4 linked regions of the Notamacropus eugenii genome follow. The protein of the gene in region 1 purifies or fractionates together with the protein of each later gene. This does not show direct contact. Links are inferred from orthologs where the notes say so. Each region holds a gene or a part of one and is shown in the gene's direction. Other genes may lie near its edges. The genes, in order: CDC27, ANAPC2, ANAPC7 and ANAPC13.

Region 1 (6,933 bases):
CATAAACCATTTGAATGTATATTACTTCTTCTATTAGACTGGACAAATTTTTGCTTTTTTTGTTGTTTTCTCAGTACTCAGCATGGTAGCCAGCACATAGTCAGTGCTTAATAAATGCTCTTCAATTTACCAATAGATCATGCAGAATGACACCTTCTTATTTATGCCAACTTTACCTTGGGCATGTTATATTAGATAGATGATGGCTCATCCCACCTTAGTTACATGAAAGGCAGCGTGGTACAGTGGAAAGAGACCTGGGTTTGAATCTCAACTTTGATATTGACTAATTGTGTGACCATGAACTAATCATGTCAATTTTCTGAGCCTGAGTTGCTTCATCTACAAAATACCTATAATACTTACCTTATAGGAAAGATATGTGAGGATCAAATGATGTAAGATACTTCGCAAACCTTCCAGTAACTATATGGACATCATTATCTATCTACCTACATATCTATCTACCTGCCTGTTAATCTATCTGCCTTCTGTCTACTGAGAGACAGAGAGTAGCTAGAAGGTAATCTGAGAGGGAAGAGGCACTAGCAACAAGGGGATAAGGAAAGGCTTTCTGCAAGTGCAATGAAATAGAGACAAGAGTGTTGTGTGTGAGAAGCAGAAAAAATTCGAGGAGGCCAATAAGGTATAATAAGACGATTAGAAAGGTCAGAAGAAATCAGATCATAAAGTCAAGTCAATTAGCATTTATTAAGTACATACTACGTGCCAGGCACTGTGCTGAGATTAATTTGGAAGAGTGTTAAATGCCAGACAGAAGACTTTACATTTGATCCTGGAGGTTAACAGGGAACCACTGGAGCTCACTAAGCCAAGAGATGACATGGCCAGATTTGTGCTTTAGAAAAAATCACCCTGGCAACAGAGTAGAGGATATGTTAGAGTAGAGAGAGATCTGAGGCAGGAAGATGGTTATTGCAATAGTTCACAATGCAGAGTAATATGCATGTACAAATGCATTTTACATCCAATTTGCTTTTCCACACAATTTATAATTTATATGCATCTTGTGTTTTACATATAGTCAGTGGATTAGTGGAAGAATCAAACAAGAGGCACCCCCAGAACTTCACAAGATTTTATATCACTATGAGGTTAAAACCCAGAAGAATCAACACCAAATGATTTATAAGGTTAACCATTTATGGAGGAGGTGATTTGTAAAGGGTATCTCCTAGGTCCCCATCAAGGACTGATGCTGTGTGAAAGGAGCAGAACCAGGAGAACATAATACACAGTAACAACCACAATGTGGGAAGAATTTTTCTGGTAGACTTAGCCCATCACAACAAATGCACTCCTTTCACACAGCATCAGTTCATATAAGTCCTTCTAGGCCTCTCTGAAGTCCTCCTGCTCATCATTTCTTATAGCACAATAGTATTCCTTTACATTCATATACCACAAGTTGTTCAGCCGATTGGGGCATCCCCTCAATTTCCAGTTCTTGGCCACAAAGAGAGCTGCTATAAATATTTTGGTAATGTGGGACTCTTTCCCATTTTTATGGTCTCTTTGGGATACAGTCCTAGAAGTGATATTGCTGGGTCAAAGGGTATGCGCATTTTTGGCATACTCTATGGAATGGTTGGATTAGCTGAGCTCCACCAACAGTGAATTAGTGTTCCAACTCTCCCACATCTTCTCCAACATTTATCATCTTCCTGTTCTGTCATATTAGCTGACCTGACAGGTATGACTACATCTCTATCTATAAGAAATATAACTGATGTTCATATAGTATTGAAAGGTTTGCAAAGTGTCTTTCATCATTTGATCCTCACATCTTTCCTATAAGGTAAACATTATAGGCATTTTGCAAATGAAGTATCTCAGGCTCAGACATGACTAGTTCATAGTCACACAATTAGTTAAGTATCAAACTTGAGATTCAAACCCAGGTCTCCATCTACTATACCATGCTGTCTTTCATGTAACTATGGTAAGATAAGCCACGATCTATCTAATGTAACATGCCCAAGGTAAAGCTGTCATAAAAAGAAGGTGTCAATCTGCATAATCTTGATAAATTGATGAACATTTATTAAGCACTGACTATGTGCTGGGTACCATGCAAAGCACTGAGAAAACAACAAAAAAAGCAAAAATTTGTCCATTCTAACGGATGAAGCAATATACATTTAAATACTTTATGTAGCTCTTTAAGGTTTGCAAAATGCTTTTCAAAAATTATCTTATTTAATCCTCACCGTAACTCTGGGAAGTAAGGATTATTATTATCCCTATTTTGGAGTTGAGAAAACTTGGGCAAACAGAGGTTAAATGACTTGCCCAAGCCTGAGTTTAGATTTGGACTCGGCTCTTTCTGACTCCAATGCCAGTGCTCTATGCCACTTATAAGGCTAGGTATAGAGGGAAAGCAATCTTAACAGCAGACAACCTTAGGGTCAGATAGAGGTGGTACTTGAGCTGAGTCTTGAAGGAAGCCAGGGATTCTAAGAGACAGAGTTGAGGTGGGAAGTGCATTCCAGGCACAGAGAGCAAAAAAAAGTAAGAATGTATTAATGCGTTTTCAGGAGGAAGAGCATTCTGATTCCAAAGACTAGAAACTTCTTATTCAAATACATCTCTCCCTAGAACTGAGAAGAACAACTTATCAAGCCACCATAGCTTGAAGGAAATATTCCTTAAGGACACCAACTCATTTTGCTCTCATGCTTATCAAGCAGTGTTCTAATCTGTAATTTGGCCTCTGGAGTAAATAACTGGAGTTACCTTGCCAGATAGCTCTCCCAGTGCAAATTAATAATTTGGTATTCTAGTGGATAAATCTGTCTCTTGTCAGTTTGGTTAGTGTGAATCGATTCCCCTTGGCCTGAAAGCCTAGAGTGAACTTATAAAAAAAGAAAGGAAGCTTTTATGAATTCCTCTACTTTGGGATATCATTTTTCAAATTATTTCCTACTTATTTTTCTACGTAAATGTTTGTTGTATCCTCTTTCCCTTCTTCCTAAGCAAAATGCAAGCTTCTGAAAGGCAGAAATGGTTTTTTCCTTTTGTCTTTATTTTCCCCTTCTCCTAGCACAGTGCCCTGAACACAGTAGGTGCTTAATAAGGTCTTCACTCGGTTTGCGTAGCCCCTCCCCTCCAAAACTAAGCCACAGATTAAGACACATTGTGGGTGTGTAATAAATGGCTTGTTAAATTGAATTAACTGTAAAGGGCCTGACCCAGCTTGTGGAGGCTCCCAAGGCCTAAGCCGTATCTGCACATCCGAGGCGCTTAATAAAGGCTGGTTCAATTCCATTTAAAGGCTTGACGCAAGGATTCCGCCGCACCTGCACATGGTCGCTCCTGTCCAGGTTCCCAGATTCAGGACCGGAAGAGACCTCCGAAGCCGTCTAAGTGAATCCCCTTCTTTTAACCGACGAAGCCGCCGAGGGCCTGGAGCTTAAATAACACGACCAAGGTGGTGCTGGCCACGAGAGGCCCTGGCCCACACTCCCGCTACAGCCCGCGGTTCCGTACGTCCACATGGCGCACTGGGCCTCCGAGGCCCGGGCAGCAAGGATGAGGCGAAAGCACCGAGCTAAAGGGACTACAGCGGGCGGGCGCCGCGACCACGCGGCGAAGCCCACCGCCCGGCGGCTCACGGCCAGCCTGCTTGCAGCTGATTGGCCGAAGAGCGCGCGGGTAACTGAGCTCGAGGGGAGCGTGAGCTTCCTCCGTCTAAGCCAGCCTCGGTTTTCCTTTGGCTAATCTTCTAGCGTTTCCGGCTACGCTCTGCCCCTCCGCCAGCCTTCGTGTTTTTCCGGTCGAACTCGGGCATTTCCGGCTAGCCCTAGCTTCGGCGGTTTCCGTGCTGCACTCGGGTGGACTCGGCAGCCGTTCGGCCTCCCCCATCCCCCGGTAACGGTCGCTGCTGAGTTTAAATGAGCCGGGGCTGGGCCGGGCCGGAGCCGCTACGGGGGGGCCTGAGGCGCGACGGAGAGCGGGCCTGAGCCTTAAGAATGACGGTGCTGCAGGAACCCGTCCAGGTAACGAGGACCTCGCCCCCTTCAGCCCCAGGCGGCGGCGGCGGCGGCGGCGGCGGGGGTGGCGGCGGGGAGGCCACGCTCGGGCCGGGCCGGGCTGCGGCTCGGCTCGGGCAGGGCCTGGCGCGGCCTAGGCCCCGGGACGTTGCTCCTCCTCCTCCTCTGCGGACCGGCCCGGCCCGGCCCTCAGGACGCCGGATCCCGGGCCCACGCCCCCGGGAGCCCCCGGGCGGGGACGGGGTCCCAAGCGCGCCCCCGCCCGCCCCTCCTGTCAGTCCCCGGGGGCGCCTCGTGGACGCCACCGGGGAGGGAGAGAGGGAGCCGGAGTCCTGCAGGCGGGAGGGTCGGCTCGGGTCGGCTCGGGTAGTGTCTGTAGTGGAGGGGGAGGAGGATTGGCACCAGGCTGGCTAGGCGTCCCCCGGGAACCCGCGAGTTTGGGGATGGTTTGCGCTTTTTTTTTTTTTTTTTTTTTGGCGCGGTTGCAGATTTGGGGCAGGGGGGCAGGGAGTGAATGGTGTCTTAAAGGAGAGCTTGGCCTTTGGGTGACTTGGCCTTTCCCCAGCTCCTGTTGCTTTCTGATTTCAGTGTGAATTCACCACTGGACATGTGGCTTAGCCTGGCTGGAATCAGGTATAAGATACAGACACTTGCCTAACAGCCACAGTAGGGCAGGGCAGGGCAGGGTGGGGATGGTATCTATGCCAGGTTTTTCTATCACAGATAATGATGGGATCACGGGGTATTTTTTTCTCTTGCACATACAGAAAGTGGAATTTAAAAAAAAATTCGAATACCTTTCCCATCTTTTTTTAAACCCTTAAATCTTCACTGTCATTACCAAATCAGGTATGTTTTTCATGTTCACTGTTCTTTTGGGATGGAATAGAAGAAATCCTCTTGGATTTTGAGAATACGATGCAGTGCCAAATCATTTTTTGCTATGCTTTCTGAAGGAACTGAGTCCTTTGTGCCTTGGTGATGCACCAGGTTTGGGGGTTGGGGGGGGGGGTTACATTATGTCAAATGAGTTGACCTGTGACGTGGGTTTCTCTATGGTTTTAGAGCTGCTGCTGCTGCTGATGATGATGGTCAGGAAAGACTAGGTAGTATCCTTATGGTTTTGAGAAGTGTTCTGTATTACCATTAATGTACCTGTTAACTACCAACAAATGAATCTAACAGTAAACATTTAAATAATGTCATCCCCATTTATTCATTTCAGAGCCCTTAGTGTTTGAGTCAATGTGATATGGGGCTCTAATTTAGAATTGTAACCATATACAAGATATCCTAGTGCAGTAAGTGAAAATCCAAAAATATTTTCTCATTTGACCAACTAGCATTTCTCTTTTCAATAAATAAGCTTAAATTAAAAGTCCTGCCTTTTGGGGGCCTATAAAAGAATTGATAGCTATCTATGCCCAGTTTCAGTTTAGTGAGTATATGCTTGCTTCTGTTACTTCATTTGCATTTCAGATTCATTTCATCCAAGACATTTTATGCTGATACTGAGTTATAAATTTGCTTCTTCTAGCCTCAAAAGATTTTTTTTAGAACCTGTCTGCCAAGGTTGTAAGGATCAAATGAGATAATATTCGTAAATGCTTAACATACCTCTAGCACATATTAGGTGCTATGTAAATGTTAGCTATTATTTTTTTCCCCTAAAGTGATTGGCTTGTGTCATTACTGAAGTGCCACTATTACTTAATAATTACACAAAGGAGAGGAAATTTGTGATCCAGAACCCTTGGATGATACACACCAATTTTCCTTCCTTTCCATCCAAACCTTCTTATCAATGATGCACTTCAGGCCTTCTTAAGCCTTAGAATCCAGTAGCTTATTAAATTCATATGGTGAAAAAACCCAACATATCACTGCCCTTTACTTCAGAGAGGTCTTTTGTCCAGGTGAGGTTTTTTCTAAGATTTGATCTGTAGAGCAATATGAGTTCACTACCAACCTTTGATTAGGTGGTATGGTCAGGAGCATTGAGCAGACATCTTTGGCTACTGCCAATGAGGATCAGTCAAAATGGGGTGGTGCTAGAGGTTGAGGCAGGGGCTGAGATTGGAATTAGCAGGGAAGAGGAGTTTGTAGTAGCACAGCAGAAAGATAAATACACATATAAAGGTGCTATTTGTAAAGATAGAGGGAGGCATATATGGGAGTTTTGAGTAGTCCACCAAGATTTCTTATGTCATCTCAACTGGCTCTTTACTGCTTTACAGAAACCTTTTATTGGTTCCTGATTAACTTGCTTTCCCATTCCCTACAGTCTCTGTTACAGACCTCTGCTGTCCTCAAGCTAACTTTACCCTCCTGCCCCCAGCAGAGGATCTGACTTTATATGTCACTGAAACAAATGAGCCTACCTATCATGAGCTCCCCTATTCTTCCCATTTCTACTGCACTTCAAGTGCCCAGCATTATCCCTAATTCTGTACTCCTTTGCTCCAGAGGAAGAGGGCCCTCCCCCAAGCTTGGCCCCACAATCATCCCTTTTCTATAATTTTCAAGCTTTCCTCCCTTACCTGCTGGATCTATCCTCACTGTCTTCAAACATGCCTTACTCTTCCCCAACCCTAAAAAAAATATAAAACAACCCAAAACTTTCACTTGATCTTATAATTTTTAAAAAAGCAAAAACTACCAAAACAAATCTTTTCCTTTTTTTAAATTATATTTTCAAGTCATTCATGCTCCACTTTTGCACCACTAAACACCTAGGAAAAGTTGTCTCCACTCATTACTTCTACTTCTCAGCTCCTTGCCGTCTGGCTTCCATTCCTACCACTCAACTGAAATTGCTCTTTACAAAATAATCTCCTAATTACTAAATTTAATGGCCTTTTCTTGGTCCTCACCATTCTTAACCTCTCTGCAGCATCTGACAGCATTGACTATCCTATCC
Region 2 (7,099 bases), on another chromosome or scaffold:
GTTTGTCCTTCATTGCTGGAAGAAGACCATGCCATCAGAGAAATAATGGCATGGCTTGCACTTGACTTTGTTTTGAGTGAGGGAGGGTTGTGCAGGTCATCAGCCTCACTTCTCCTTCAGAGCTGTCTGAATCCAGTGACCAGATATTCATCAGGATGACTGGAGATGACCCAGGATGAGGCAAATGGGGTTGACTTGCCCAAGGTCACATAGCTAGTGAGTGTCAAGTGTCTGAGGTGAGATTTGAACTCAGGCCCTCCTGACTCGTTTTGTATCCATTACACCACCTAGTTGCCTTGGAAAATATTTAAATCCTGAAAGCCCTTCTAATACTCACACTGCCAATGGCTGGCACTAAAAGTTGATTAACAGCCCAGGAAGTGATAAAACACATTTCAGCACTGATTAATGCCCCAGTGACATAATTCAGAAGAGTGATCTGTTGGGAACTACCTTGGATATTTCCCTCTCATCTCGTTAAGGCACAAGAGAGCAGATGACAATGTCACACAGTACCTCAGTTGACCAAGCTTTGGCTGTTACAAATTAATTTTCAAGTACTCATTATGGTCTGTAAACCTGTAGGTTCTACTTCTTGCTTAGGTGTGAACTGGAAAGGTAAGGCAGTGAGTTAGGAAGTCGATTCCTAACCTAAAGAGGATTATGAAGATGAAGGCAGTTCCCAGTTATTAGCAACAAATTCCTAAATGAAGATACAGCTGGAATTGGGAAAGTAAAACAAGGCGATAAGTCTGTGTTCTCTTAGGCTTACTCTTGCTTAGAAGGGTTAAAAATGAGTCTATACTACTCATTAGATCTAAGACACACTAATGTCATTAGTCTAATAGTTTTTCCATAAACAAATTCCCATCAAGACACATTCCATCTTGTTTGAATTTAATTTGATGGGGAAGCCATTGTTAATCTCGATGGTGACAGTGTCAAAATGACCTTCAAAGAAGATGATGAATTTTATTACTTTTTTGTGGAAGTTAGGATAAGCAGGAATAGGAGAAAAAAAGATTGCATTATTTCATTTCAACAGACATTTATTTAGTGCTAACTATATGTAAGATACTATTCTGGGCCCTGGAAAAATGGCTAACACCCCCCAATTTCTCCCTCAAAGAACTTACACATGTACTCAAGTAACTCAATGCAAATTGTGTATGAAATAATATAATTTCAATGGGAATGTGCTAACATGCCAAGATATCAGAAAAAGTCTCTTTTAAGAGGCAACACATGAGCTGTGTTGTACAGGAAGACAAGGACTCTAAGAGAAAGAGGTATGAAGATGTGGGGGAACCACTTGTGCAAATACAGAGGTAGAAAGAACAAGCTAACAGGTCAATTTGAATGGAATAGTGGACATACAAGGAGAACAATATGAAAAGAGATTGAATAATCAAAGACCAAGATAGGATACAGACTTGCTATATAATCATACAAGGCCTTCCTTGCCCTTACTAGGCATTTAATGAACATTAGAAAAAACTGAGAGTGTAGTCCTTTATTCCTCTGGGGCCTCTGCTCATTTCCATGTAGGGAAAGGTCCTGGTCCCTTGGTCAAGTGGCCAAACCAGGTCCTGTTAGCCTCATCTTGTGCCTGTATCTCTAGCTCTTCATACATACTCTTTACTCACCAACTTCCATGGTGGAGTGGGGGTGGGGTAAGAAGCCATCTGGGCAAAGACTATTAACAATGAACAAAGGCTTCTGGTTCTTGGTTTAAAAAAAAAATTCTCCCCCCACAACACAGACAGCAGGCTCAGAGATGAAAATCATAAGGAAAACTTTATTCACACATAAAACTGCAATATATTGACTACATGTATACATTAAGGTTCATGTCCCTAGTTAGGGTTTTTGGCCACTCATCCCCACAATTACTGGCTTTGTCTGGCCACCTGCTTTGAAGGAAGCATGGGGCCTGGGAATAAATATCCTGAAGGCTGATCCAGGACAGCAGTGACAACTCTCAGGCAAAATTGCCTCTCGTCCTCTCTCTGTTTTCCTCTTCCCCATGATTCCTTCTGCCTGGAAGGCAATGAAACGTGCAGAGCATTACTAACCCCTACCCCAAGTGGCTGGGCTGTTGTAATTACCCCTTTTCTTTAGGACATGTTAGATGAAACACCCAGAGAACAGTGAATACCCATGAGGTACTGGGGAGCTAAGTTGTTCTCACATGCCTGAAATAGCAAGAGAAGGGAAATGCTGCAGCTATGAAAAACAAAGATACTTTATTAACAGATTCCCTCTCAAGGAAGACACCTGCAGACCTACAAAAGGGAGTGTAAGGCAAGCCCCAGGCTTTAGCCCATGGTCCCAGTTCAGCTGTCCTTGCCCATAGTATTCTTCTGGTCCTGGGCTGCGGCCTTGCTTAGATTCCCTGCTTCTCGCTTCAAGACGTTGAGTAGCGTCTGAGAACTTTCCAGAATCTGTGACCAGAAAAAAATGAAACAGTTTAAGCTTGCACATCTTGGAAAGATGCAGCTTTTTGGGTACTAAGGGGCCCTCTCTCTCCATCACTACTTACCTTTTATTGTACTCTCTACATATTGTATATATGCTCCTTCATCTTCAAATAAGTCAAGGATCTGGACTGTGCCATTTTTATATTTGTAAGACCATAGTTTGAGTTGTGAGGGACCTAAGAGATCATCTAGTCCAACTCCCTCATTTTACATTTAAGGAAACTGAGGCCCAGGGAAATTAAGGGACTTGTTCAATGTAGCAAGTAGTAGAAGTAGAACATTGAACTACACCCTCCACCTTCAAATGCAATTCTCTTTCCATCACACCTGGTGTCTCCTGGTACCTCTAGTTCAGCTTGCAGCCTCAAGGCCACATATGGTGCTCTAGGTCCTCAAGTGCGGCCCTCTGAACTGAATCCCAAACTCTAAGGGGATTTGTTCTGTAAAGTTTGGAGTCAGAGGGCCATACTTGAGGACCTAGAGAGATGAAGGTTTCCCACTCCTGCTCGTGTCTAGCATAGCACCTAGTACACAGTGTTGGCTTGGGGGGGGGTGGGGCAGCACAAGAAGGATAAAGGTGCGGACTTCATTTGGGGTGGGGAATGTCTGGCAGCTCTACCCTTAAAAAATTGAAAATTCAGATCTCTGGTGGGCACTCTCGATGGACTTGTTGACGTTGGGGTCCAGTGCTCTCATTTTAACGATAAGGCCCCTGAACCTGGGGGAGGTTAAGCGAGTTGCCCAGGGTCCCACAACCAGTTAAATGTCTGAGGTAGGCTTGGACTCCATGACTTCAGGGCTGCAAATCCAGCCTTCTGTCTGCTCTCTGGAACAAACCACCCTGCGTTCGCAAGGCTACACCTCCCCTCTGCCGACCCCGAGGTGTTTAGCACCAACACATGGATTTGGAGCACCGCCTCATCTCGGGGAGGGGTGCCCAGTGAGCTTGGGGTCTCCACGGGTTAAGTACCCTCCTGAGCGGCGGGAATGGGGGCTGGGGGGGGGGGGCAGGGTCCGGCTCCGGCGCGCCGGCCCACCTGCCCCCGGGGGGAGGCCCACCTTGAGGTAAGCGGCCTCGGTCTCGGCAATGGTGCGGTCAAACTCGTTCCGGGAGGCGATCTTCCGGGCCAGGTTCTCGTTGACCCGTGCCAGCTTCTCCGTCAGCTGCCGCACTTCGCCCTGGAGCCGCTGCTTCTCATCCTCCTCCTGCTGGATCTGCCGGCACAGCTCCTCCCGCTTCTGGCACAGCTCCTCGATGCCTGGGGGAGGCGAGAGAGGCTGGTGGGGGCCCGGGCGGGGAGCGGGGGCGGGGTTCGGGGCCGCACAGGGGGGGAGGGGCGGGGGGTGGCTCGGGGGGCCGGGATGGCTCGGGGTCGGGGTTCCGCCGCCGCCTGCGGCCCTCACACTTGACCAGCTCGTTGTTGTAGTTCTGAAGCGCCGCTCCCTGCTGGCTCATCCTCCCCGCGCTCCCGCCACCGGCAGCCTCCTACTCCAGCTCCAACCGCCTCTACCGCATCACTGCGCCTGCTCGGATACCGCTCTCCCGCCCTCCTTTGCGCGCCAATGGGCCCGTGAGCTCATCAGGTCGCGCCGCGTCGGCTCAGGGGAGTCATTGCGTGACGTCTGACGTCACCACGACGCGCGCCAGGGCTGACATCCGAGCCGCTGCGGCTGCGGGAGCCGGAGCGGGGTCTGGGCCTGTCAGCGCAAATGGCGACGGTGGCGGCCATGGTAGAGGGTGCAGCCTGCGGGGCCCCGGGGGCGGAGCTGTCAGTGGCCTGGAGTACCGTGAGCACCGGGCTGGTGCCGCCCGCCGCCCTGGGGCTGGTGAGGGCCACACTCCGGCGGGCGGGCTCGTCCCTCCCGGCGCATCTCCGCCTCCTCTCGGCCGCATCCTTGCCCTCGGCCCCTTCTCTTCCTTCAGCCCCGCCCCCGCCCCGCTCAGCCCCCTGTCCTCATGCCCATCTCCCTCTCCGCTCCTCCTGCCCCTCATCCCCACTCAGCCCCACGCCTCCTCTCAGACCCCAACTGGTCTCTCAGGCTCCAGCTCTTATTTTTCGTCCGCTCTCCTCCTGTCCTGACTCTTCTCCCTCCTCTGGCTGACCTTTAGAGCTGCTTTCCTCCTTGTTTTAGAGATGCTCTGTTTCTGACCCCTCTTGGTCCACTTCTTACGAGTTCTGTGCTCTTTAGGCAGCTTCCAGGCCACCCGGAGCAGTGAGTTTGAAAGAAGAGGAGCTTCAGGCTGCTGTGGAGGTGCTGAAGTGCTATGAGCTGCACTCGATCCTGGAGGAGTGGTTCACCGAGGTGCTTCAGACTGACCTGCAGTCCAACATCGCCCCCGAGTTTTGGAATGCCATTGCTCAATATGAGAACACCGCGGAAGAGCCCCAGTGCGTCCTGCTCCTCCTGGAAGCCTTTGGCTTGCTCAAGTGTCGACTGGACCCCTACCTCAACAGCTTGGATTTACTGGAGAAGTGGACGCAGATGGGCTTGTTGCTGGGGACTGGCTCTCAGGGTCTGCGGGAAAAAGTCTATACTATGTTTAGAGCCATCTTGTTCTTCTCCACCACGAAAACCTTTCAGGAGATGATCCAGCAGTTCTATGCGCGTACCTTTAAAATCTACATGCATCAGCAGAAGAAAAAGAAAGTGGATGAAGGAATGAGCGAAAGTGGCATGAGTGAGCCAGAGTTGGACCAAGGTGACTTGGAAGACAGTGGGTCTCCAGAGGGCCAGGAGTGTGCCGGCTGCAACAGTGCTAAGGAGCTGTGCTGGTGCTCAGTGGCTCTGGAACAATTCCAGCAGCTTAGTGAGATACTGTAAGTGACTGCTACTTGTAACTTTTGTGGCGTTGGGCATATCTCTCTGCTTCTTTTGGTTTCGGGGATCTCCTCTGTAAAATAAAGGAATCAGATTTAATTATCTCTCAGGTTCCATCTAGCTCCATATCTTATTAACCTATAAAAAAGTGTCCCCTAGCCTAGTCACTTTCCCTGGGATCAGGCAGGGTTTAACAAAGCTGTAGTAGAGGAAACCTTTTAATTCTGGGTAGTGGAAGAGGATCTTAGGACATCTAAATAACCTATTTCCCTCACTCCTAATTGCAGGGAATGTCAGAGTGTGTGAGGTGCTATATCATTAGCAGAAAATAGTGTTTATTTGTTGGAATAATGAATTCACACCTTTAGGCATTGATTATCATGTTTTCATCTCTTCACCCATTCCTAGACTTTAGTTATACTCAGTGGAGAGTAAGTCAGAAAAGAGATTTGTCTTGTGTTCCCCATCATTGCATAGCTTCCAGGTGAATGATTCATGACTGCTTATTAACAGCACTGTAGATATAATACATATTATGGTTAGGGGTTGGACTAGATGACCCTTGAGGTTCCCTGTTTTGTATTCTGGAGCAGATTAGCTCATGGCTTTTTTTTTATGTCCAAAATTACTAGCATTCTCTAGAAGTACTTAAGGACCATCAAAGAGTTTGAGGGAAAGAATTTTGCTTTTCAGCAATATGTTAAGAGATGTTTTGCTAAAATGACTAAGATTTCTGGTTTGACGTTTGGGGTTCCCATTGATTTTCATGGATTAGATTTTATTTTGATGTAATCCAAATGGTTATCCCAGTTCTTTTGTACTGGAATTTTGTATATTCAAAAATTCTTTAAATAAATGTGCCCCAGAGTAAACTTTGAAGTTTTTTGGTTTACAGATTTTTACTATAGTGATACTAGTTATGCCCAAAATGAGTCTTTAAGTATGGTTCTCTGAGGGACCCCCTTTTGAACCACACAAGGTAGGAAGGGCAGGATACACACACACACAAAGTATGTGGTTAATTGTTTTTAAGGATGCATTTGTCATTACAGTTTAGATCTACATTAAAAATCACAAAAGTTAATCATTTTTAAGTTACCACAGTAGTGTCCATTTACCCAGGCAGAATTTTTACAAATTTTTTCAGTGGCAAAAAAGAGCAAGTGGGATAGTTGTCTTATCCAGAAGTACCTTTGCATCCATTGGAGCCATGTTTACTTGTCTGTTGGCTGATCTGTGTGGACACCTGCTGGTCAGACCTGTGCTACTTCACCAGTTAGAGCTAAGAAATTTTGTAATCTTGGCAGATTTTCCAATCCTTTATTGCCCTTGAGGGCAAGTCCCTCAGCAGAAGTAGATCACCTCTTCTGTGCCTCTATCTCTACTTTTAGCAACTCCTGACCTACTATTTGCCTAGGAACTCCCACTGTAGTGGTCTTCTTGGACTTTGCCCCTAGGATCTTCCATTCAACAAAATTTGAGCTCTTTTTCAATTAATGCTCTCAGAGTTCCATTCTTTGGGGGTACTGAGGAACTATGGGAACTTTGTTTCCCAGATTCAACTTTTCCAGATTCAACATTTATTTTAACAGTGAGCTTTCTATAAATAATGTGATATACACTTAAGTGGTGTATCTAATGGTATGAATTTTTTATTGGAGGATGAAGGTGGCTTAAATATTTTGGGATGGGGAGAAAACTCTTACAGCATAGAGGGGCTAGCGACTTAATCTTTCTGGATTTAGGTTCAGGTCCTGTTTGAGGACCATAACTCCTTATTTGTGGTTTCATACTTTGTA
Region 3 (6,896 bases), on another chromosome or scaffold:
TGCCTCACTTAAATTCAATTCACTCAGGAGTCAAGACATGACCCCAGGATATCACCGGTCATCTTCAAAAGCAAAGAACAAGCAACAACATGTGCCAGGCATTGTGCTAAATGTCAGAGATACACATAAAGGAAAAAGACAGTTCCTACTCTCAAGGAGCTCACAGTCTCCTGAGGGAGATAACATACAAATAACTATGTTCAGACAAGATATACACAGGAGATAATTTCAGAACAAAGGAAGTAGGGTTAAGGAGAACTGGAAAAGTCTTCTTGCAGGAGGTGAGATTTTTAACGACTTCAAGGTAGAATTGAGGAGGGAGAGCATCCTAAGCATGGGTGACAGCCAATGAAATTGCTGGGAGTGTGGAGATGGAGAGTCATGTTCAGGGAACAAGGAGACCAGTGTCACTGGATCTCAGAGTACATGATGAGGGGCATAAGGTACAAAAAAACTGGAAAGGTAGGAAGGGGCCAATTTATAAAAGGCTTCAAATGCCAAATAGTTCAAATTCTTGACCCAGCTCTGACACTGTCTATCTGTGTGATTTTGTGAAAGCTATTTAAATTCTGTATTTTAGGGATGATGCCATGTTTATCAGATTTACAGATGACACAAACCTGGGACAGAGAGAAAACAAACTAATGACAAAGGTTTCCAAAAAGATCTCAAGAGGTTAGAACCGTGAGCTAAACCTAATACATTAAAGTCAGAATCTTAGATTCAACAAAACAACAGTAAAAGTCTAGTTTGGGGGAGGCATGGCTAAACGACAGATCATGCAAAGAAAATGGCTGTTTTTAGCGGACTTCACGCTCAATATAAGTCAGCAGTGAGACTTGGAAACTGAGAAAGCAAATCTAATTTTAGATTGCATTGAGAGGCGTGATAATACTACCTGGTATTTCCATAGTTCCTTAAAGCTTGCAAAATGCTTTACAAATGCGATCTCATTTTATTCCTACAACAACTCTAGGTGGTCGTTCCACATTTATTATTATTTATTATTCCACATTTCACTGATGAAGTATGGCCCCTGAGAAAGGCTAAATAATTTGGCTAGCGTCACACAGCACTTATGGTTCAGAGTCAGAATTCGAACTCAGGTCTTCCTGGCTCCAAGTCCAGGGATGTTGCCCACTGTTCCACCTAGCTGCCTTCATCAAGCAATGGCTGGAGGGAGTGTCATGTTCAGCATAGGGTACCACGTTTTGGGGTGTACATGGACAATCAGGAGTGAGTCTAAAAGAGAATCATGAAAGGATTATAGACATCATAAGAAGATTGTTTGATGGACGTAGGAATGGAAAAGAGAGACTTCTCAGTGGGGACCTGAGAACTGTCCTCAAATACTTGCAGGATGGTCATGTGGAAGAAGGCTTAGCCTTGTTCTGTTTGGCCCCAGAGGCCAGAACTAGGAGCGTTGGATAGAAATTGCAGAAAGGCAGATTTCTGCTCAATGTCATAAGAAGCCCATGTTCATGGGGAAAAATAAAAGATGGAATATTCAAAGAAGCTTGAAGGATGACCAATGATAGTTCATGTGCTCCATTTAATATTCACACAATGTCAACAGAACGTGCAGTTGATTGGGCAGATCTCCTGTAATGGATATATGGGAGGATAATGACAGGTTTCATGGAATATGCAGGCACAGGGGGAAGTGAGGAAGGGAAGAGGCTATGTGGAAAATTGGATAGAGTCAAGAATACCTGAGGACAAGTTCTGTCTCTAAAGAGTTCTGGGTGGGTGATCATTGGCAAGTCACTGTGAGGTCAGTGCCCCAAAACTACTCTAAGATTATAAGTTGGAGAGTAAGGAAAAACTTCCTAAAAACTAGAGCTGTCCAAAGGTGAAACTGCCCTGGGAGACAATGGGTTTCCATTATTACAACTGGAGAGTTTCAAGTTGAGGTTTGATGATTGATCCATGGGTTGGACCAGATGACCATGGAGAGCCAAACACTTAAGTGCATATGATATACTAAGTTCTGGAAATGCAAATAGAAGCAGAAAGACAGGTCCTTGTCTTCAAGGAACATGCACCCTAATGCTAAGAATACAACGCAGAAGAAGGAGCCGAGAAGCTGGGAAGGGGCAATGTTCCCTAGTAGGGGCTGGATGGAAAAGTTGTCTGGAGAGCCAGGAGCCGAGGCAGGTTAGGAATGAGCAGGGTTGATTTGGGTACTTCCCCAAATAGAGATTCCTGGCAAGAATTTACCAATTAGAGAAAGAGGAAACAAGTATTTATGAACTGCCTACTAAGGGCTAAGCACTTCACAAACATCTCAATGACAATGAGGTAGGTACTACTGTTATTCCTATTTTACAGTTGAGGAAACTGAGTCAGACAGAGGTGAAGTGACTTTTGGAGGTGGGAGGAGTGGGAAAGTAAGCTGGAGAGTCAGGAGATCTCTTCCAATCCTTGAAAGTCCCTGAAAATAGCATTTATTTTGCAAATACAAGACCCTGTGCCAAGAGCTGGGGATATAAATACAAACTGTAAAATAGTTGTCGCCCTTAAGTAGCTTATACTCTACTGGAGATGTGATAAAGAGTTAGTGGTTGAATTAGTCACTGGTCTTCTAACTCCAGGGCATTTTCCTGTACCACAGACTTTTTCAGTCCTTTCCCCAGCTACATTCATTCTGCTTGGGATGGTCACGGAGATCTTTAGGAGAGTTATGGTTGTGTTCATCCTTCGTTTTAGGAGAAGACCATGACATCAGAGAAATGACATGGCTTGCACTTGATTTTGAGGGAGGGCTGTGCAAGGTCACCAGCCTCACTTTCTCCTCTTGAGCCATTTTTAGAAGAGTGGGAGTTACTGAATTTAGCTCTAGAAGGATAGGTTGGTTTTTGACCGGAGAGGAAAGCTGAAACTCTTAACTGAAATATCTGTTAACAGGTGAACCGATAAGCTATCTTCCAAGCAAATATAATTTTAGGTAGAACTGTCATTTTTTATTATATTAGCTTGACCTACTTATGAGCAACTGACATTTTTCCAGTCGTTTAGATCTGACTTTGTGGGAAAAGTGTTTGTAATTGTTTTTGTATCGATCCCGGCTTTGTCTTGGCTGGTAGACTCCGGAACATTTTATATTGTCTACAGTTATTTTAAATGGAATTTTTTTCTATCTCCTGTCGCTGGGCTTCGTTGGTAATGAATACAAATGTTGATGATTTTTGTGAGTGTGTTTTAAATCTTGCAATTTTGCTAAAGTTGTTTTTTTCAAGTAGTTTTTTAGCGGATTCTCTAAGTATACCATCCTATCATCCGCAAAGAGCAACAATTTTGTTTCCTTATTGCCTATTCTAATTCCTTCAACTTCCTTTTCTTCTCTTATGGCTAACGCCAAAATTTCTAGTACATATTAAATAATAGTGGTGATAATGGACATCCTTTTTTCACTCTTGAACTGATAATGGGCATCCTTTTTTCACTCTTGAACTTACCGGGAATGCTTCTAGCTTATCCCCTCACCTGTAATGCTTGCTGATGCTTTTAGATAGATACTGCTGATCACTTTAAAGAAAACTCCATTTATTCCTAGGCTCTCTGGTGTTTTGAATGGGCTGCAAATATACTTTTGAGATCCTTTCTAGCACAGAATAGCTGGAAGAAATCTTTGAGATCATGGAGCCCAAGCCCTCTCATTCATTGCTGAAGCTGTCATCCCTATTTTAGTTCCAGAAACGGAGGTGAGGGGACTTGTCCAGGGTCACTCAGCTAGTCGGTATCCGAGAGGAGAGGTGAATCTGGTCTCCCCGATTCCAAGTCCGGGGCTCCAGCCGAGGAGCCACCTAGCTGCTTGGCTTTACAAATGAGGCAACAGAGGCGGACAGTGACGTCCCCAAGGGAACACAGCGAGCGAGTGTCTGAAGTCGGATTTGAACTCGGGTCTTCCGTGGAACGCAGACGGGAGCCTGGGTGCTCGGTGGGAGGCTGGGGGCTCACAACCGCGGCCAGGACTCAGAACAGCAGCGGGACGGAGAAGGATGGAGCGGAAAGCACGTGGCACAATGACTCGCGCAAGCGCGGTTAGCCCCAACGGTTAGGGTTGTCTTGTGCGCGCCTGATGAAAAGATTTCATTTGCCCTTAGAAATTTGTATTCCTTTGAAGGAGCTGAAAATGACGATAACTTCCGCGGTAGGAGCAAAATACCTGCTTTTTCCTCATACATAATACGTTGTGATAGTACTCCCAGAAGGAACGAGGGTTTTTTTTTCACACAGGCGTCGTCCTAGTCTCCCGCCCGTTTCAGCGAGGGGGCCTGACGAGGACCCCGGGCCGGCGGCCATTTTGGCGCCTTCGCTGAGGTGCCGCTCGCCGCGCTCGTCGCCGCTGCCCTCCCCTCCCCCCAGAGCCTGCCGGTGTCCGGTCCCCGCTTCGGCCGCCGCTGGGTCCTCGCGGCCCCTCCGCGAAAGCAAAGATGAACGTGATCGACCACGTGCGGGACATGGCGGCCGCGGGGCTGCACTCCAACGTGCGGCTCCTCAGCAGCCTCCTCCTCACTATGAGCAACAACAACCCGTGAGTGCGGCCCAGCGTGAAAGGTCCGGTGGGGGGAGGGAAACGGAGTGGGGAGGGCCCCTGGGGGCGGGGTCAGGGGCGCGCACCTGAGGGGGTGTGGCTAGGGGGTGCGCGGGCCAGAAGTTGCGAGCGAGGCTGAGGGGGGCGGGGTTAAGAGGCGCGCGACTGAAGGGGCGGGGACTTGGGAAACAACTGAATTGGGAGAGGCGGAGGAGCCTGAAGGGGCGGGATTAAGGGGAGGCAGAGTGAGGGGGCGGGGCCAGTGCGCACCTGGGCCGGAAGAGGGGCGGAGTCAGTGAGTAGCCTGGACGGGGAGAGGAGGCGGGGTAAGGGAGCGCGCGCCTGAGAGGGCGGGGCCTTGGGAAGTGGGCGGGTGGGATTTGGACGCGCGTGCGCGCCTGGGGGCGGGGCTTGCGGGGTCGCGGTTAGGGTTCTCAGGTAGTCTGAGCTGAAACGGGGGTGGAGCACTGGAAAGGGGCGTGACTAGGAAAAGGGGCGGGTCCTTGGGTGTAACTGGCTCTGGAGGTGGGGCTCCGGGCAGGTGCGTGGCTGGGGCGTGGGGGCCAGGGCTTGGCATAGCGGGTGGGGCAGGGCATGCCCTAGGTTGGGCTTCTGTACCCCTTGGTAGGAGTCTATACCCCTTGGTAGGAGTCTATACTGGAGTAGGCTGGGGGCGGGGGCGGGGCGGCTGGAGAAGACTCTTGGGAAAGAGTTTGGAACCTTTGGTTATTAAGTTTCATAGTTTGAATTTCCACATCTCTCCTTTTTTCTCCTGGTGATCCTAGAGCCAGCACAAGGTACAATTAAAGCGAGCAGCAAAATTACGTCTGAAAGCGCAACTGCTTTTTCCTTTGCAGTTAAACATATTTTCTCATCTTATTAGGAAACAGTGCTGAATCTAACATAAAGGTACAGATTCATGAGTTTTCTTGCGCGTATGTTGACGGTGACCTAGATGACATTGTATTACCAGCTGGTGCAGAATGTTCTCATGACCTTTTTTTAAAAGTAACTCTGTCCTGCAGAAATCTAAGTTCATTCACCTAGTGGATGGTTGGTTGTTCTCCTTCCTCTTCAAAGAGGACCAATATGACATCACCATGATAAAGTGACATTTCAGTGTGTCCTACTGTGACTGATCAGACCAAAACAGGCTCGGAATGCTCTACCACAGGTTGGGCACAGATAGTTCCTGTGAATATTTGGGGTGGATATCCTGCGTTTACTTTGTGCTGTCTCAATTCTGCTTTGCTCATAGAGCACAGCACCTTTTCTGTTATGGGCACGCCATGCTGAGCGGTCCTGTGCCAGTGTCTCCATGTTGCACAGTCAAATCCAAAGTTCTTCAGAATGCCCTTGTATCCTTTCTTCTGATCACTATGCGATCTCCTGCCCCATGAGAGTTCTCCATAAAAGTCTTTTTGGCAAGTGTACACTTTGCATTCGAACAACGAGTGTTCTAGTGGATACTTCTTTTTGAAAACTGTACTCTTATTCTGAAGTTTATTAACATAATCTTTAAACTAGAAGAAAGAAAAACAATTCAATCAGCATGTGAGAGAAATTGTTGAATGTAATACTAATACTTTGAGGTGGCTGGGTTGGGAAGTGGATAGGGCTCTGGTCCAGGAATCAGAAAGACTTGAGCTCAGATGCAGCCTCACACACTTCCTAGCTGTATGATGCTGGGCAGTTCATTTGACCTCTCTCTGTCTGCCCTGGTTTTTCATTTGTAAAATAGAGATAAAAGCATCTAGTTCCCAGGGTTGTTGTAAGATTCAAATGAGGTCCTATTTGCGAGGCACTGTATGAATTTGGACTGCTGTTATTCTTATTACAGTAGCCTCCTAATGATTCTTCCTGCATCCAGTCTCTGCACTCTGTTCTGGCTTCCGTTCAGCTGCCTAAACGGTATTCCCAAGGCATATCCCTTATGTCCTCCCCTAGGATCTGCTGTGGTTTCCTTCTATCTCTCATGCTCCTCACTCTGGCTGTTACAGCTCTCCATAGTCTGGTCTCAGCCAACCTTCAGTTTATTTCACTTTCAGCGTTAACATTGTTTTTGTTCCAATTAAACTGTCTTAATTGCTGTTCCCTAAGTTTGGCATTCCATCTCCCTTTTCTCTGCCCTTGCCTAGGCTGTCCTGCATATATGGAATGGGTTCATTTCTCACCTCCATCTCTCAGAATTTTTAATTTCCTTAAAGGCTCAGTTCAGATACCACCTCACCAGCCTTTCCTGATCTTTCCATTTGTTAGTGCCTGTATTTCCTAATCTAAGTACATATTGCATTTCCTGTAAGGTCCCTAATGGCAAGGCTTGTTTTCTTTGTTTGTCTTTATATCTCAGCTTCCAAGA
Region 4 (7,146 bases), on another chromosome or scaffold:
ATGTTGAGTGAAGTGAGTGGAAGCAGGAAAACAAATGACAACAATACAGTAAAGACAAACAACTTTGAAAGAGTGAGTCTCTGATCAGTATAATGACCACCATAATCCCAGAGGATTAATAATGAAACATTGTGGGGGGAGCGGTGCACACACGTGGGCACATGTGTAGGAAATGGCCAATGTGGAAATTTGTTTTGCTTGACTATACATGTTTGTAACAAGTTTTATTTTTCTTCTGTTCTTAATGGTAAGGGATGGAAGGAAAAGGGAGAAAAGTCAGACTTTTGTGGACTGAAAAAATATAATTTTGAAAAAGAGGGGAAAAGTTCTGGTAGTCCGGGAGGAAAAGGGAGGGGTATTAAGAATTAGGAGGGAAATAAAGCAAAATAAACTCAAAGGATGTACAAAAATATTTCTGGTTCTTTTTGAAGTGGCAAAGAATGAAAACCTGAGGGGATATCCATGAACTGGGGAATGACTGAACAATTTATGTAAAGAATGGCCTATTTTATTTATTACATGGCACCTAATCTGTGCTTTGAAGGAAGCTAGAGATTCTATGTGGCATAGAAAAAAGAATGGAGTATATTCCAAACATCAAGGTAGGCATGGAAGAAGGAATACAACTAAATAACCCTTCATGTGATACTTTATTTTTTTCTTTTCAAAAGAACTATATAAAATTAAGAATTGTTTGCACAAGGCACAGTATAAATTCTAAAACCTAAGATCACACAGCTAGGGTGAAATAGAGTTTAAAGTTCTATCTGACTACAAGCTGCTTCCTGAATAAAGCTTATTTATGTACTACCAGAATTAGGTACTAGTTATAATCTACAGCTATCAACCACATTTAACAAAGTAGAAAAGTGATATTCAAAATAGTTGAATGAGTTGCTCAAAGTTACACAGCTAGTGTCAGAGGTGAGATTCAAAACCAGATATTATTGCCTCCAAGTATAACACTTTATCCACACTGCCTCTATGGCAAACAGTAAAATGACCAAAATGTAAGGAGGTTAAAGAAACAAAAGAAATGATTAATGAAAAAGCAATTCTTTTGAATTCAGGCACAATACTGACCTGATGAGGTCACTATAATCCAAGTTAACAAAGCATAATGCCTTAATTTACTTATAATTTTCATACATGCAGATGTAACAATTTGGTATCAACTTAATACCTATGCCATTGTACCTTCTCAAACATTCAGACAAACCCAAATTCTGTAGAGCACTTAGCATCATCACTAATTTGGATAAATTTTGATTATTTGGTACTGTAATTTAACATTTAAAATGAGTGTGTGCAAGGTCTTATACAGATACAGGTATTTCTACTCTAACAGACCACTTTTAATAAAGAAAAAAAATACTTTCACTAAATTTTCCCATTGTCAATGGGGGAAAGGGAGAAGGAGGAAGGGGTTAAACTTCAAAGTTATTTCAGGCAACTGAAAATTACTGCAGGAGTTAATAAACTTTTTTGTGTCATAGATTCCTTTGGCAATCTGGTGAAAACTATAGACTCCAATGGTTCACCAGCTATGTCTCACCAGTGCCCACAGACAGGAAAGACTACAAGCCCTTGAAATCCACAGTAATTTCAAAGTAGTGGTGGGCATACATAACATTCCAAAGTATCTGCAATGACTATAACATGGCATAAAAATATTTGTGATTTCTACCAGTGATAAAGTCACAAGTACTATTAATGATGCTGTGGTTTATTACCTACATGTGTAATTGACAGAAAACCTAAATTTCAATTATAGGTTGCTTAGTAAAAATTTTTTTAAAAATTTCCCATTCAAGTTCCTGGACTCTCCCAAATCTAACCATGAAATCCTTCATGTTAAGGACCTCTATTCCTTATATAACTGAAAATGTTCACAACATCACTAGAACTAGGAAAAACATGGGATGAGGTGTCATCTTTTTAAAAAGCAATAAACAAAAGTTGCTATAAAAATGACTAGGTTTTTCTAAAGAAATTCTGGGAAATGGGCCATAGGGTTCAGGTTCCTCTGTAAAAGAGATGTGTGTTTGTCCTTTATTGCCGAAGAAGACCATGCCATCAGAGAAATGATGATGACTTTTACTTGACTTTGTTTTGAGTGAGGGAGGGCTGAGGTTAGTCTAGACAGAAGGTGGGAAACCTCTGGCCTCAAACCACTCCTGGTCTAGATAAATACCCATGGTAAAAGGATCTTGGAAAGGATCTGATCAACAATCTCATAATAAAGTATTTATAGAGAGGTCAAGTAGCTTGATGTACTATCCTCTTTAGGAAGAAATCCTCACTTTAACTGAGGTCTCCCAGGATTCTGAACAGAAAGGGTTAATAGACCCTTCAGGCACCACAACTGCAAAATGCTGTTTTTGTTCCTCCTTCCTTTTCAAAGAGGGCTAGTCAGCCTCACTCTCTCTTCCAGAACGATTGAAGTTCAGTGGAGAAACAAAAATCAGTAGATTGATGGAAGGCTGCAGTGGATGACCTTGGCTTCTTTGATGTCTGACCAACCACTAAGCACTCCACAGCCCTTGCATGGCTCTTGGAACAAAATGTTCTGATCTGCTTGGGGAAGTCTATCCATGCGTGAGGTAGACATCCCTCCCCGCAACTTAATGAAGGGCTCCAGGGCAGTGGGTTACTCTAAACTTGGCTTAGTGGGTTGTGACCACAGCACATGCTACAACTTCTTGGAGCCACAGGTGACAGTTGGATGACAGCCCTCACACCAGGAGTATTCATCCTCCCTAGACACCACATACATCCTTATTAATCAGAGGGGGTACCTTCCCTAAACTTCTCAAATCATGCTGGAAAGGACCTTAGAGGTTCTAGAGTCATGGGATCATTTCATAGAGAGAGAAAGAACTTCTGAGGCTAGCTGGTCTAATGCATCCCCATCCCTCACCCCCTTCATTTTACACATGAGGAAACTGAAGACCAATTAAATCAGATGACTTGTCAATTCAACAAACATTTATTAAGCACCTACTGTGTGCCAAGTCACTGGGCTAAGCAATGGGGATACAAGAAAAAGGCTAGGCAGGGCCAGTCTTCACGTATCTTACAACTAATAGGGGAGACAAGGCCAAGCAAAGGGATACAAAGTATCTAGGTATCCTCCGAGATGAATGCCTCCATTTTGCACGGGGAAGTGGCTTGCCCACAGCGACAGGTCCAAGTGGAAGCAAATTGATGACCCTGTAGAACGGCGGGCTAGGGAAATCTGAGGCTTGCCCAGCTGATGGGTTTTTTTAATACCTCCAGCGCCTGGCACGGTGCCCTCACTTAGTAAGTGCTTTAACGTCTGAACTGAACTGAACCCCGGACCTAGGTCCATTGGCCTCTCGGGGGCCAGCGGGGGAGGAGAGGGAGGGGGAGGAGGATAATCTCGGCCTAAGTCGCTCTAGCACAAGGCGCACTCGGACTGCTTTTGAATCGCCCGCCGGGGACACGTGGCCCCCATCACCGCCGCCTCCTCTAGAGGGGAGGTGGAGGAACCCACTTCAAGCATGGCCCGAGGCGGGCTAACGAACGAACCCCAGCCGCCAGCACTCGCCCTCGGACCCGAGGAAGGCGAGCGGGCACCTGACGGCGGGCTTGGCCGACGCGCCCTGCGGAGCCATGGGCCGCACTCAGCGCGCAGCCAGGCGAAAAGCACGCCGGGAAGAAGCGCGCAGTCGCTACCCCGCGCCTGCGGACTAAGGAGCAGCGCGTCGACGCCGTTCAGCGGCCTCAGCCCCGCGGCCACGCAGGCCGTGCACCCAGCCCCGCCAGGCGTCCGCAGCAGCGGCAGCGTCCGCCCCCGCCCCTTTCTCGTTCTCCCGCCGTTACCTTTCCCGGCCGCGCGCGCCGCCGCCGACGTTTCTGCACCGCCTCCTCGCTCGCCCACTCGTCCTCCCTCCGCCCCCTCCCCACTTTAAAAAAAAATTTTTCCCCCCTTAATGAATTGAACCAACCTCATCCTCCCCACTTTCCTAAGGTAATCGAGTTGACTCAGCCTAGTACTGTCATTCGCTGGGCCTAAACGGTGGGAGGGGAAGGGTTTTACGAATCACGTGACTCCGGCGAATTGGCTGGCGGAGGAGCAGATTGGCGCGGCGGTTGAAGGCGGAAGAGCGCTGGAGCGGAGGTTCCCCCAACACGCCTGCGCGATGATCGCCGGAGAAACGAGCGCGAGACTCGGAGCATGCGCATGCGCATCCCTTTCACATTCTTTCCAGGTCTGCTGGTTTGGTTACATTGTATGCTGCTGCTCTGCAGCTGTACCTCCCCTGTCCCCTTGTGCTCACCCCAGGAGAGTCTCGGCTCTTTTCTTCCACCCTTCTGTCCCCTAAGGAGGATACTGGAGGGCAGTGTCGTTCCCTCCCTCTCCTTTCTCTTCTGGCCTCGCTCGTCCCAAACTGCAGTAAGACGAACGTCTGTGTGTGTGTGTCTGTATGTCTGTGTCTGTGTGTCTGTGTGTCTGTGTGTGTCTCTCTCTTCTGTTACTTGATTTTGTATAGTACTTACAACTATTCATAGTCCCAGGGCTTTTATTAAGCAGTATGTGCCATGCCCTCTGCTAATCTAAAAGTTAGCAGAGTTTGTAAATTTCTGAAAGTTTGTAAAAATCTGCCAAAATCTGCCTATTGTGTGCTGCTTCCTCAGGGGTGATAAAACTGTTTTAAGTCACAGCCTCAGCTCTAAATGAGCTTCTGGTCTAATTGAGGTTTCAGGATAGGAATTCAATAGCCATATAAGATTACAATTCAAACATTTTTTCACTGCTTTCTGCTGGAAGTTCTCAGCCACACAGTCAGGAATACAAAGATGAAAATCAGTGATCCTTATCTATACTTAAGGAGCTTACACTGTATGTGACAATTAAAAAGAACAAATTAATCAGTGATGACTTATAACATGTATTCTGATAAGAGGAATAGTAGATGACAAAAGAGGGCAGCAAGCACTTTGAAGAAAATGAAAAGAATGTGGGATACAAGAATTTAGATAAATGCTAAGAAAAAGTTGAAACATCCATGGTTTCATTGATCTGGGTATAAATACTGAAAATGGATCCTTTTACTTTATTGAAGTAAAATTCTTTTTAAAAAAGAATCAAAAACTTGTCAGCCAGCTGTCATCCATTTATGTTTATTTTGAGCTCAGGCCACGTCCACAGACACAAAACAATTAAAGTACATTTGGACTAATTCAGAAAATTAACTAGTTGTGTGTGTGTGTGTTTAATTCACTCATCACCAAATTTCTGAACTGTAACTTGTAGGCCATAGGTCTAAGAAAATCAAAATCACAAAAGAATGGACAGTGAGGTACAGAGGGATGGAAGAATTCTGGATCTGATTGATGATGCTTGGAGAGAAGATAAGCTGCCCTATGAAGACGTTGCAATACCACTGGTAGGTAACATGCTATGAATAAGGGAATGGGTATACCATTGTAAGTAACAATTAATTAGCAAACCCAGCAAAAGCAGAAAGGAGGAAGGGCACATGACTCACAGTGGGAGCAGTTTATCTGGACCAGAGTTATCAAATATACTTCCCTAGTGGGCCTGAATTAAAATTTAATTAAGAAATGTTCTTAAATAAAAATACAGTAGAACAAAGATAATGTTAATGTGTGGTTTTCTAATCAATATACAGCCACAGGGATCCTTAAGAGTTTAATAGGTCTGTTTCTGTTTGAATTTCACACTGCTGATCTAGGCCTCCTAGTTTTGTGGCCCTCCACCTGAAGCAATGAAAAATAGAGAGGAGGGGATGGATGTAAAATTATTTCTTCCAATCCTTTCAAAGCAAATCAGCCAAGGCATAGAGAGGTTAAGTAATTTGCTTAAGAACATAAAACTAGTTAGTGACAGATCTCCTGAATGTCAGTCTAGTGCTTCTATCAATGTACTATATAGAGATAAGTCAAGAATAATTAAGAGTCAGAACCACTGAAATCAATGGAAAAAATTAAAAAGAGCTAAGAACATACCTTAGAACAACTAAATAATATTCTCTTCTTTCTTTTACTTTCATCTGTCATTCAGTTATTCTCTTTGTAAACCTCCATACTTTGATGCTAGACCTTTCCAAGATTTTCTGAGAGATTTCTATTCTCTTCTCTACACCTACCAAGTTTCTGAAAAAAAGACTTAAACTTCCACGTTTGTAGATGTCCCTGGACTTTTAAGTTTAGTCCTGTGTTTGTTTTTTACTGAGTTAAAATTTAACAAATTACCATAGCACTCTTTATAGGATGGTAAAGATGTTGGGGTAATTCATACTTCAGGTCCAAACTGAGTAATTTCTAAAATTGCTTCCAACTTTTTAAGAGACTGTAATTATATTATTTTTCACTTTAATGAAGGCTTATGATAGATCCTATGTATATCATAAGGACCTACTGAAAGAGAAGAAAATAATTGAAAAGAGGTGGAAGAATATTTTTTCTGTTAAGAGGTGGGGGGATGGTAAGGGGAAATAGTCACAGGTCATATGCAGGTAAAAACAACTTTAGCTATTTTTGAAGGAACTATGCAACGTTCATGTTACCTACTTTTAAAAATCAAGAACGGAAAATATAAAACTATTCAATAACTACAAATAACAAAGAGATATACCTTAAGTTAAGGATCAAAAAAGAAAAGGTAAAATGGACTGAGGACCTAAAAGAAAACATTCAAAAACCCCACTTTGAAATAACATTTTTGCTTAACCCTTGAAATAAAGCAAGGATATCCATTGTGTAGGATAAAGACCTGTATCTATCTCAGAAACTTTCACATATGTACCCAGAATTTGAGAATACTTTTCTTAGGCCAATTCAAGTCAACCCAAGAGCAGATTGGAGCCAGTGAATCAGATATTTTCTACCCATGATTTATTGATATATTTGCTTTACACTTCTTTTGTTGGTGTTAATTTTTTATTTGAGCTAAGTTTGTCTACCTTTATTAGTACATCCAGAATCCATCACATTATAGGTGTGAATTCTTCCACCCCTTTCACCAAAGTAAGTCACAGCTTTTCTATACTATAACTGTCTTTGTAAGTCACTGGGTCTGAAAAAATGTTCCTCATTTGATATCCAACTTTCATGTGATTAACACCTCTGAACTTTAATGGTCTCACTTAACAAAAT

What was found.
Region 2: the proteins of CDC27 (region 1) and ANAPC2 purify together in Homo sapiens (affinity purification with western blotting; 20 studies listed by BioGRID and IntAct, with this or other methods). This does not show direct contact. The link is inferred for Notamacropus eugenii from reciprocal best matches to the Homo sapiens genes CDC27 and ANAPC2.
Region 3: the proteins of CDC27 (region 1) and ANAPC7 purify together in Homo sapiens (affinity purification with western blotting; 23 studies listed by BioGRID and IntAct, with this or other methods). This does not show direct contact. The link is inferred for Notamacropus eugenii from reciprocal best matches to the Homo sapiens genes CDC27 and ANAPC7.
Region 4: the proteins of CDC27 (region 1) and ANAPC13 purify together in Homo sapiens (affinity purification with mass spectrometry; 5 studies listed by BioGRID and IntAct, counting the BioPlex papers as one, with this or other methods). This does not show direct contact. The link is inferred for Notamacropus eugenii from reciprocal best matches to the Homo sapiens genes CDC27 and ANAPC13.

Annotation. Positions count from the first base shown.
Region 1 is NC_092873.1:346,411,487-346,418,419, forward strand, and holds the start of CDC27 (cell division cycle protein 27 homolog), read left to right. Parts: upstream 1-3,926; 5' UTR 3,927-3,992; coding exon 3,993-4,019; intron 4,020-6,933. UniProt on the Homo sapiens protein: Component of the anaphase promoting complex/cyclosome (APC/C), a cell cycle-regulated E3 ubiquitin ligase that controls progression through mitosis and the G1 phase of the cell cycle.
Region 2 is NC_092872.1:494,224,747-494,231,845, forward strand, and holds the start of ANAPC2 (anaphase-promoting complex subunit 2), read left to right. Parts: upstream 1-4,096; 5' UTR 4,097-4,190; coding exon 4,191-4,307; intron 4,308-4,670; coding exon 4,671-5,299; intron 5,300-7,099. Other genes in the region: microtubule nucleation factor SSNA1, read right to left, coding at 1,982-2,040, 2,351-2,444, 3,540-3,739, 3,885-3,936. UniProt on the Homo sapiens protein: Together with the RING-H2 protein ANAPC11, constitutes the catalytic component of the anaphase promoting complex/cyclosome (APC/C), a cell cycle-regulated E3 ubiquitin ligase that controls progression through mitosis and the G1 phase of the cell cycle.
Region 3 is NC_092875.1:35,969,722-35,976,617, forward strand, and holds the start of ANAPC7 (anaphase-promoting complex subunit 7), read left to right. Parts: upstream 1-3,889; 5' UTR 3,890-4,153; intron 4,154-4,239; 5' UTR 4,240-4,436; coding exon 4,437-4,537; exon of another isoform or gene 4,538-4,560; intron 4,561-4,977; exon of another isoform or gene 4,978-5,078; intron 5,079-6,896. UniProt on the Homo sapiens protein: Component of the anaphase promoting complex/cyclosome (APC/C), a cell cycle-regulated E3 ubiquitin ligase that controls progression through mitosis and the G1 phase of the cell cycle.
Region 4 is NC_092876.1:333,963,354-333,970,499, forward strand, and holds the start of ANAPC13 (anaphase-promoting complex subunit 13), read left to right. Parts: upstream 1-4,136; 5' UTR 4,137-4,235; exon of another isoform or gene 4,236-4,420; intron 4,421-5,281; 5' UTR 5,282-5,315; coding exon 5,316-5,414; intron 5,415-7,146. Other genes in the region: CEP63 (centrosomal protein of 63 kDa), read right to left, coding at 3,972-3,976. UniProt on the Homo sapiens protein: Component of the anaphase promoting complex/cyclosome (APC/C), a cell cycle-regulated E3 ubiquitin ligase that controls progression through mitosis and the G1 phase of the cell cycle.